Regions from separate parts of the Mus musculus genome. Here regions 1 and 3 are each reported to be linked to region 2. Evidence: microRNA targets listed by miRTarBase, many of them from high-throughput screens and not tested one by one. Region 2 holds a microRNA gene; each other region holds the end of a gene's coding sequence.

Region 1 (3,257 bases), not on the chromosome of region 2:
GCATTTGAAATGCAAATGAAGAAAATACCTAATAAAAAATTGGGGAAAATGCTGGGCGTGGTGGCGCACGCCTTTAATCCCAGCACTCGGGAGGTAGAGGCAGGCAGATTTCTGAGTTCGAGGCCAGCCTGGTCTACAGAGTGAGTTCCAGGACAGCCAGGGCTACACAGAGAAACCCTGTCTCAAAAAAGAATTGGGAAAAAAATGTAAAGTTTTGTACATCAAAAAATATTGCCAACTCTATGCTGGGTAGCCTTCCTAGTCATCAAAACTCTTTCTCATGTATGAATCTGATGAGTTCCAACAACCAGCCTCACAAGACACATGCATGGGTGAAACAGTGGTGTAGCTGGTACAGGAGTAACCAACTGCTTTCTGATTCGATTGAGGATTCACTCCACAAGAGAAACCCCATGCCTGGTACTACAAATCTGGCCAAGAACCCATCCTGCGGAGCTCAAAAGCCCTACAGAAAAGTCACTATTAGTTTGCTAAATTGACATAGTATCAAACTGTCTTCTAAATGATTCTCGAAACTCATAGATTAGGTCAGTTTTCAACACTGACCACAGACTTTTTCTTTTTACAGTGAACAGTGGCCAATATACAGACTTACAATTTGTAAATGCAGAAACAGGTGTCCATGTAATATTCAGTCTCAAATGAGACATCGACAGCACATCCTTGCCCCCCAAAGCTCAAGGGAACATTAGAGAAGATGGAGAAATGGGAAAGAAAAATGTAAAGATCCAGTGCTCTGGGAGATCTGCTATGAAACAACATCTTATGAACACAGCAGGAACTTGCATTCATAAACTCACAGAAGCAGTGGTTGCCTGCACAAGCTCAAGACACTCAGCATTACAGGATGAATGAGAGAAGGACTACCCACAACTGAGGAACTGTTGGCAGTTGATCAATGCTGGCAGAGGAAGACTCCATCTTCTTTGGGTGTGGCATCGAGTAGGTTGACTGTGTTCGGGTAGATAGCTTCACACCAATTCACACTTTGAGTAGCACTGATTTTTGTTCTCAGTGGGTTATAAAGAAAAGAAGAGGACAAGAAATTAGGATAGGGACATGTCAGGAGATCCAAGAGCAGTGATACAGGGATATAGGGTAGACGTGATCAAAACACACTGTATACATGTAGGAAATTATCAAAGAATAAATAATTTTAAAGAAATGCTACTCAGGAAGAAAATGAAGATGACCCATGGAATAGAAGAGAATGTTTTGAAATGAGCCACTTGATAGGTATCTAACAATTATATAGTTTATACAAGGCAAAAATAAATAACCTAATTTAATTGGCAAAAAACTTGGTCTTTTCTACAAAGATATACAAGTGATTAATAAGCATACTGTATGATTCCATCTCTATACAATCCCAGAATAGGATAGATAATCCATTAGAACAGAAAGTAGCCTGTTTTTTGTTTATATTTAGTGGAGAGACAGGAAAGAAAAATTAGAAGTGGCAGCTAATTGATGTAGGAGGTCTTGTTTTGTTTTCTGAGATTTTATTATTTTATTTATTCTTTGTGTGTGTGTGTGTGTGTGTGTGTGTGTGTGTGTGTACTCTTCATGACATGTATGTGGGCAACTTGTGGGAGTTGGTTTTCTCCCTTCTCCGTGTGGGTTCTGGAGATCAATCTCAGATCATGAGGCTTGACTGCAAGCACCTTTACCCCTGTACCATCTCCCCGGCCACCTCACTGGATGTATTGAAGATCAAGTCCCAGAGTTTTCTGCAGGCAATCCAGGCAACTTTACAACTCTGAAAAGTAGAAATTAAGCAGAAGCTGAGGATTTTACCAAATGAAAGAGCAGGCAATACACAAACCAGTGTGCTTATCGGGGTCTACCACAAGGAGTCATGCAACTGATAGGGATAGGTATTGGGAAACGGTTTGGGGGTAGTAATCAAATACATGCCTCAGCCATGAGACTGAGAGCATGGTGGCTCTTGCTTTTAATCTTAGAACTTGAGAGCCAGAGGCAGATGGTTCTCCATGAGTTCAAAGCCAGCCTGATCTACTATAGCAAATTTCACGCCAGTCAGGGCTAGCTGTTTCATATACATATATGAATGCCTTCTCCACCAAGAGAGACTGTACCCTCAAACTGTGAACCAAAGTAAACATTTCATCCCTTAAAAAATACATCTGGGTTCTGGAGAGATGTCCCAGTGGTTAGAGTGCAAAGAAACCAAAGTTTGCTTCCCAGTTCCCACATTGGACAGCTACCTGTAATTCCAGCTCCAAAAGATCTACCACCTTCTCTGGCCTCCACCGGCACCTGAATATTCTCTCTCTCTCTCTCTCTCTCTCTCTCTCTCTCTCACACACACACACACACACACACACACACACACACACAAACACACACACACCAAAGTAAAAGTAGAATGCCTCTGCTTAGAAACTTTGTAACATGGGAACTGTACACCCCAAAGGATGAGGGGCCTACTCTAAGTGGGGACTGCTAACACAGAGAGATCAGAGGCAGGGATAGATGATTGGCAGTAGGGTCCTCACCTGCATCTCAAAATGGCTCTTTTGCCTCCACCACTGACAATTCATCGGTTGTGTCCTTGGATCTTACAGAGCTCTCTGAAGTTGGCAACTTCTTTAAGAAGGAAAGTTTGTGCTTGTATATCCTCCAAAACCTCCCTAAACCCAAAAGCGCAAGCTCCAAGAAAATAAATAAGAAACAGGCCCCGCTGATCCCAAACATGATGTTGAGGAAGATGGTCTTCTCAGAGGGGTGAGACTGGAAACAGGTTGTGCTGCCAATACAAGGATCCTCACGACATATAAAAGTGCTGGACATCTTGAAACCATACAGATTGTACTGAACACCTAGAGCTGCTCCCTCAAGGGCCAGCCGTACCCCAAGGTGTGCCACATAGGCCCAGAGAAGCTTGAGGCTTTTAGCCCCTGAGACATCCTTGCTATGATCCCCTTTGCTAATCTGGGTCTCTTGCTCCTTGTTTTCCTTTCCTGGTACCTCCCAGTATCCAATCACATGATACAGAGTGAAAGCCACATAAATGGCACTGGGTACAGCCATCAGAATGACTTGGAAGGCCCAGAAGCGCAATGGAGAGAGAGGGCGGAAGACATCATAGCAAATGGTCTTGCAGCCTGGCTGCCCTAAATGACATATGAATTCATTCTCATCATTGCCGAAAACCCCAGGTCCACTGGAAACCAAGATCAGGAGACGGAATCCCATGAGCATGGGAAGAAGGA
Region 2 (3,257 bases):
TAAAAACTGCTTATTTATTGGGTTAAGGAGTTGTAGGTCCTGGTTAGAACATTTAAATGTATGTTTTTAAAGATGAGGGTAACTTCAAAAAAAAAAAGTTAATTACCATCTGATCCTAAAAGGCTACGGAGAGCCCCCATTGGCTGGCTCACCTGAGTGCCGGGATTATAGGCGAGAGCCTTGATGCCCACTGAGAACAGGTTTTTCTTTTTTTTTTTTTTTTTTTTTTTTTTTTTTAAGATTTATTTATTTATTATATGTAAGTACACTGTAGCTGTCTTCAGACACTCCAGAAGAGGGAGTCAGATCTTGTTACAGATGGTTGTGAGCCACCATGTGGTTGCTGGGATTTGAACTCTGGACCTTCGGAAGAACAGTCGGGTGCTCTTACCCACTGAGCCATCTCACCAGCCCGAACAGGTTTTTCTTATAGTAGTGGTTCATACTGGTGCACGCCATAACTACCAGCATGTGGGAGGCAAAGGGGGTCTGATCTCTGAGTTCAAGGCCAGCCTGGTCTACAGAGTGACAGGGCATATAAATTAGGGCACAGAAGTAACATATCTCAAGGTCACAGAACAAGCAGGACTTGACTCCCCGTGTTTTTAAGTCTTCAGTGTATCTGAGCAGCCTCTCTGGCTAGTTTTTCCTGTGGAGGCCTGTCAGCTTCAGTGTGGCTTTGAGCCTTCAGACCAGCCCACAGGTATATGTCCATAAATGACTTTAAGCAGGTAGGTGGATTGGTGTGTGTGTGTGTGTGTGTGCTTGGAAATTGTTTCTGCTGGAAGCGTTGCTAAAGGAGATAGCACCATGGTCGAGAGCTTGCCTCGAACACAGGAGCCTGGGTTCAATCCTGGGCTCCTCTCTCCATAGGCAAAGAAAAGACGGTGACGTGGTGAGTTGGTAGCCAGAAATGGCTCTCGTTGAATATATTTGCATATGTATTTGAATAGTGGATGTAAAGATAGTTTGAGCTGGCAAGGAACATACACTGTCGTATGGAAGATTAGATGAAACAGGGGGAAATAACAACGGAGGCCTGGAGTGCTTTCTTCTCTGTGTGCTTTGGTTTAGGAGCCCAGTGTGTGTCACTTGGAACTTCAGTAAATGGGAAAGGAGGGACCTAGCACCCCAAATAGAAGAGGAGGATGGCTCGGGGCTGTGGTCTGCAAGAGCAGCTTGGGTTGGCAGAGAAAGGGGAATGATTTTTTTTTAAACGTGAGAACCTTGGGTAGAGAATAGCTCAGTGGTGGAATGCTTGCTTGCCTACCACACACAAAGCCTCCAGGGAAAACAGCACCTCAGAGGTCACACACCAGGCAAGACAGGAAGGACATTTCAATTTTAGACTTTTGAGGGATTTGAGAGCAAAGTGGGACATAGAATCAAGCAACTCCATCCTGGGTTGCATCCAGGTGCATGAGCAAATCAGTCTGAGAGCGAGCCAGGCAGTGGTGGCGTGCGCGCCTTCAATCCCAGCACTTAAGAGGCAGAGGCAGGCAGATCTCTGAGTTCGAGGCCAGCCAGGGCTACACAGAGAAACCATGTCTCGAAAAATCTGAGAGGGACACCAGTTCTGTCTTGGATCTGGATCGGTGGTTCAAATGAAGCATCTAGCCTCCCTCTGGGCTAGCCTGCTGTAGAGCTTGATAGCTTAGGAAAGTCCAAATCCAGCAAAAGTAAGGCATGGTGAAAATGAAGGCTCCTTAAAAGGCAAAACTAAAACCAGAGCCGGGAAGAGTATCGGCCCCAGTCAGGAATCCTAATGCAATTAAAAAAAAAAAAAACCAACCAACCAAACAAACAAATAAACCCTGCCGGCCTTTACAGGGGGTGGGGATCAGTTGTCATTTAACCTCTGGCAGTCTCCCGGTTCATAGGTATTGGCCTGTTTGACCAAGAGATTTAAGTCACTGAACAGATAAGGCATTCAAATGGAGACCACTTACAATAACCACATGGGTTTTCTTTCCTGTGTCAGAGCTTGTGTGTGCTAGGCAAGCAGGCACTCTACCGCTGAGCTGCGCCCCCAGCTCGAGGCACACCTTTTAGGAACATTGTGAGGTACACCCATCTGTGACTGTGGCTCCCCCAGACCTGAAGGAGAACCTCTCAGACCACTGAAGCAGCTTCTTCTAGGAAGAGCATGTGTCTAGCTACCATTTGTATGATTTGTCAGAGGGTGATTTCGGGATAATTCTCCAGCGTTGGAGTCAGCCACGGCTTACCTGGAAGATTGAATGTCTACTTGGCTTTCTTCCTGTCAGCCGTGGGTGCCTCTTGCTACTGGAAGAGCTCTGTGATGGTTCTGATTCGTTGCTTCAGTAATACCATGTGTTTATCAGCTAGCATGTTGACTGTGTTGTACACCCAGTAGATCCTATTTGTCTGCTTTGGGGTGTTAAATAATAGTACTTTTTGATAGGTTTCTCTGGGGAGAGTCTTTAGTGTTCATGGAGGGAGCTTGGGGTCAGCTGTCCAGTTTCTGAAGACAGTATAATTACAAGGAAGTGTTTGCTGTTGTGACTAGGTAAATGGCTTCATCCCCGCCACCCAGCCCCCTCCCCAGCCCCCCAGCCCTCCTCAGCTCACCACAGACACACACACACCCAAAATAAATCACGTTGACTTGATTTTAGAGTCTGCATGTGCAGAAGTTATTCATAGTCTAATTTACCCACCAACCTAGAGTTTAAAACAAAGGTATAATGAAACAGAAGATGAACTCCCACCTGCTGAGAAACAGTGACTCCTGCTCTCTCACCCAACTGTTCGGTCCCCCTCTTCAAAATTCTTACTTGCATATATGTATATGGACAGGAGAGGATGCTATGGAGGTCAGCGGACAACTTGTAGAATCCCTTTCTTTCCTTCCTTCTACCATGTGGGTACCAGCCTCAGGTATTCTGGCTTGTCAGCAAGTGACCTGTCCAGCTGAGCCATCTCATTACCCAAAGTCAGGTGGGTCTTTCTTTCTTTCTTTCTTTCTATCTTCCTTTCTTTCTTTCTTTCTTTCTTTCTTTCTTTCTTTCTTTCTTTCTTAACTTAAGATTATTTATATGAGTACACTGTCACACTCTTCAGACACACCAGAAGAGGACACCAGATCCCATTACAGATGGTTATAAACCACCATGTGGTTGCTGGGAGTTGAACTCAGGACCTCCGGAAGAGCAGTCAGTGCACTTAACTGAGCTATCTTGCCAGGGCCCTTTTCTTGCTTGTTGATAGCATCTTCCCCATAGCCCAGGCCGCCT
Region 3 (3,219 bases), not on the chromosome of region 2:
GCCAATATGGGAGGAGCTCCGGGTAAGTAATGGGCATTTCCTCTTTGGATTTGCAGGAACAACAGAGAAGCATCTGGCAGGACACAGGTAAAACAGAAATCTAGGAAGCAGAGCTAAAGATCCCTCTTGGGTTTGGAGGAGCTCAAGGGGATGGTAGACTAACTAGCCTAATAAGATTGACACAGATAGAACGAGATTTCTTAAGAGCTGGCAGTTTAGGTGTACAATCAGGCTTGTAATAGGTATATCCCATATAGTTAGGAAAATAAAGTTTCCTCGCTGAGCTGGCAGGTTTATACCTCAGTTTATGCCTCCTGTGTCCTTATTGGTATAAACATTGCATAATTTAAATGGTTACAGGCTTATGAGCAGGACTTTGGTCTCCTGTAATACAGAGCCATCCACAATGCAGAGCAACATCAGGCCTATGGACAGGGCTTTAAGACAGACTATGGTGAATATGCATCCAGCATGCCCAAGTCAGGGCTGCAAGAAACAGGTTCACCCGATCTGGGAATAGAGATGAAGAGAGTTCAGGGAGTTAACTCCAGAACACAAGCTGTTAAAAGAGAAGATAATGGAGGAGTATAAATGTTTCAGAGGTGGGGGGAGCTGGAGAGATGGCTCAGTGATTAAGAGCACTGACTGCTCTTCCAGAGGTCCTGAGTTCAATTCTCAGCAACCACATGGTGGCACATAATCATCTATAATAGGATCTGATGCCCCCTTCTGGTGTGTCTAAAGACAGCAATGTACACACATAAAATAATAAATAAATCTTTTTTTGAAAAAAAAGTTTCAGGGGCCGGTACCCAAGTTACATAGGAGAGAAACATCGCTGTTCTTGAAGTGGGAACTTCTGGTTTCTGTGGAAAGTCAGTTCTGTCAAATGATGTTTTGCTGCAGCAGACACAGGTGAAAGGGTGTTTGCTAAAGTAGATATGAGAAAGGACACATGATATTTAGAAGAAATATAAATAAGTCCCAACAGACAGTAGACGAGGCTACATGGTATTGGTAAGCTTTACCATTACTTATTGGTCATCGTTGCTTGTGACTCCATAGAGAGAAATGCACCAAAAACCTTCTGGTGATGCTCTGGTGGATTCTTGCTGCTTCTGCAGCAGGATGATTGACAGAGTCAAGTGAAAGTCTCTGGATATGTGAGCTGATACAGACTCAAGTGGAGTTTTGCTAAGACAGACTTACGTGGTGTTTTCCTGAGGCAAGTCTCGTGGAAAGCAAGACTCCTGTGAGGACACGTTGATGTTTGGAGGGAGTATAATGGAACACAATGGAAAGTGATGGAGGGTTTGCATAGCTTGCTTTGCAATGCTACGTTGGTCTCAAGTCTTCATCTTCATTGACCTTCACTTTGTGGAGAGTCAGGGCAGAGAACCTCTCCTGGTCATTCCTGCTGACTCAGGCCGATTTCATGGAGGCCTGGCAGTTTCTGCTGGGTCATGCCACAGTCAATGGTTTGGGTTTGCTATCCTGACACTGCAGACCTGGACTGGTGGTATCCTGACAATTGGAGATTGAAATTGCCCCAAGAAACTACTTCTAAACAGCAAAGAGCTGAGCCTCTTGGCCGCTTCTGCTTTGAGCTGCTATTGCTGATTCTTGTGAACTGATATCCTGACAATGCAGATTGGATTTGCTTCAAAGAACCATTTCTAAACAGATGAACTAATCCGATATCCTTTTTTTTTCTCTACTTCTGGTGGGTGGTGGGCTATAAATGAGGTTAAGCATTTAAGAACCCTTATTAAAAATGAGTTTAGAAAAATCTAAGCCAATTATCTCACCTGAGGATGTGCACCTGGGAGTTTAACAAAAAAATCACATCCTACACCTGAGAACCCTGGAAGAGATACTGAAGAGAAGAAGGAGAAATCACCACAGTAGCATGGGACAGGGAGAGCCCAGGGCAGCTTCAACACAGCATCATTAGTAGCTAAAAGGGATGGGTGAGAGGAAATGGGTGAATTGTCTTGTACACCCAGCACATTAAAGGATCCCTAGTTGAGTCTCTGATCTTTAGCCCTAGGGGCTCATAATCCTGGGGACAGGGCAAGGCTCAGGCCCTCCCTGTGTCTTTGTGATCACAAACTCTCAGGATGTGCCTCAGAGTGATGGAGAGAACAGAGCCCAGAGGTGACACAGCCGAGGTGTGGCCCCATCACAGATCAAAATGGACTGAGCCCACCTGGGCACAGCCCTGTTCACACTCAGCTGCCACAGCCTCATCCTGTCCCAACAGATACACACAGCATAGTGACCCAGATTCTGGAAGTTCCTTCATCTGCCATTTATTTCTTCAAAAAAATCAATCAAACAAACAAAAAAACCTCTAAGCATTCTCAATCCATGAAATTAACAAGAAATCAGCCCTAGATCAAGATGTTAACAATCAAGGTCACTTTCAAATTATTTTTTAAAGACTTATTTATTATTATATGTAAGTACACTGTAGCTGTCTTCAGACACTGCAGAAGAGGGTGTTAGATCCCATTACAGATGGTTGTGAGCCACCATGTGGTTGCTGGGATTTGAACTCAGGACCTTTGGAAGAGCAGTCAGCGCTGAGCCATCTCTCCAGCCACCCACATTCAAATTATTATTCTCAGTGTGGAAGTGAGGAGCTGCAGCTCAGGGTAGCATGGAGCTTACAGGATGCAGATGTCCCCCAGTGTTTGGCTGGAGCAGCAAGGTTGGCTATGGAAGGGAACACAGGGCAGTGCAGGGATAGGGTCCTGGTGTGCAGGGCAGGCTGGGCTCCACAGTTCTTCACACTGAACCCAAGCTCACAGGGAACATCAGACAATGTTGTGTAAAGAGAACTGAGGGCTCTGGATGTCACAGGAGAGACCTGAACACATCGTCTGTCACTCAGTACAGTCCAGGCAGCTGTCTTCACGCTAGAGAATGAGAGTCATGAACCATCACTGTGAAGACAACATTCCAGCAACCCACCACTCACTCTCAGGAGATTCTGGGAGTCCCTGAAACCCAATCATGTCCACATTGCCCCTCCCCAATCAGACCCTAGAGTGTCACCTTTACAATCTCGGAGAGACATTTCAGAGCTCTGGGAGCCTAGGGTAAAACAAAACAAATGTATATGCATATGTACATGAATGTATTCACTTCATGGCACAACTCAGGCCCCTAGAAGATTTCTCTGGAGGAGCTATTATGGATTCCCAGAGCTCCCAT

What was found. The annotated mature microRNA mmu-miR-3058-5p reads UCAGCCACGGCUUACCUGGAAGA and lies in region 2 at 2,214-2,236, shown strand. An mRNA with a match to its seed (bases 2 to 7 or 8) in the 3' UTR can be bound and repressed. Matches are read on the target gene's strand: a 7mer-m8 pairs with bases 2 to 8, a 7mer-A1 pairs with bases 2 to 7 and ends in A, and an 8mer does both.
Region 1: the mRNA of Gjc3 is a reported target of mmu-miR-3058-5p. The part of its 3' UTR that is shown has no 7-base or 8-base seed match.
Region 3: the mRNA of H2-D1 is a reported target of mmu-miR-3058-5p. Seed matches in the 3' UTR shown: 7mer-m8 at 2,600-2,606.

The regions. Positions count from the first base shown.
Region 1 is chr5:137,954,665-137,957,921 of GRCm38, forward strand. Gjc3 (gap junction protein, gamma 3) reads right to left here. Exons shown (of 3, transcript NM_080450.5): 2 at 2,541-3,257; 3 at 1-1,780. The coding sequence ends at 2,548. Among named protein-coding and RNA genes, the nearest start is that of Gjc3, 6.8 kb to the right of the region's middle.
Region 2 is chr10:95,558,265-95,561,521 of GRCm38, reverse strand. Mir3058 (microRNA 3058) reads left to right here and starts at 2,201; the gene lies at 2,201-2,291. The region is part of intron 1 of Nudt4 (nudix (nucleoside diphosphate linked moiety X)-type motif 4); the gene reads left to right.
Region 3 is chr17:35,266,568-35,269,786 of GRCm38, reverse strand. It overlaps H2-D1 (histocompatibility 2, D region locus 1), which reads right to left. Exons shown (of 8, transcript NM_010380.3): 7 at 3,061-3,099; 8 at 2,290-2,921. The coding sequence ends at 2,917. Among named protein-coding and RNA genes, the nearest start is that of H2-D1, 5.1 kb to the right of the region's middle.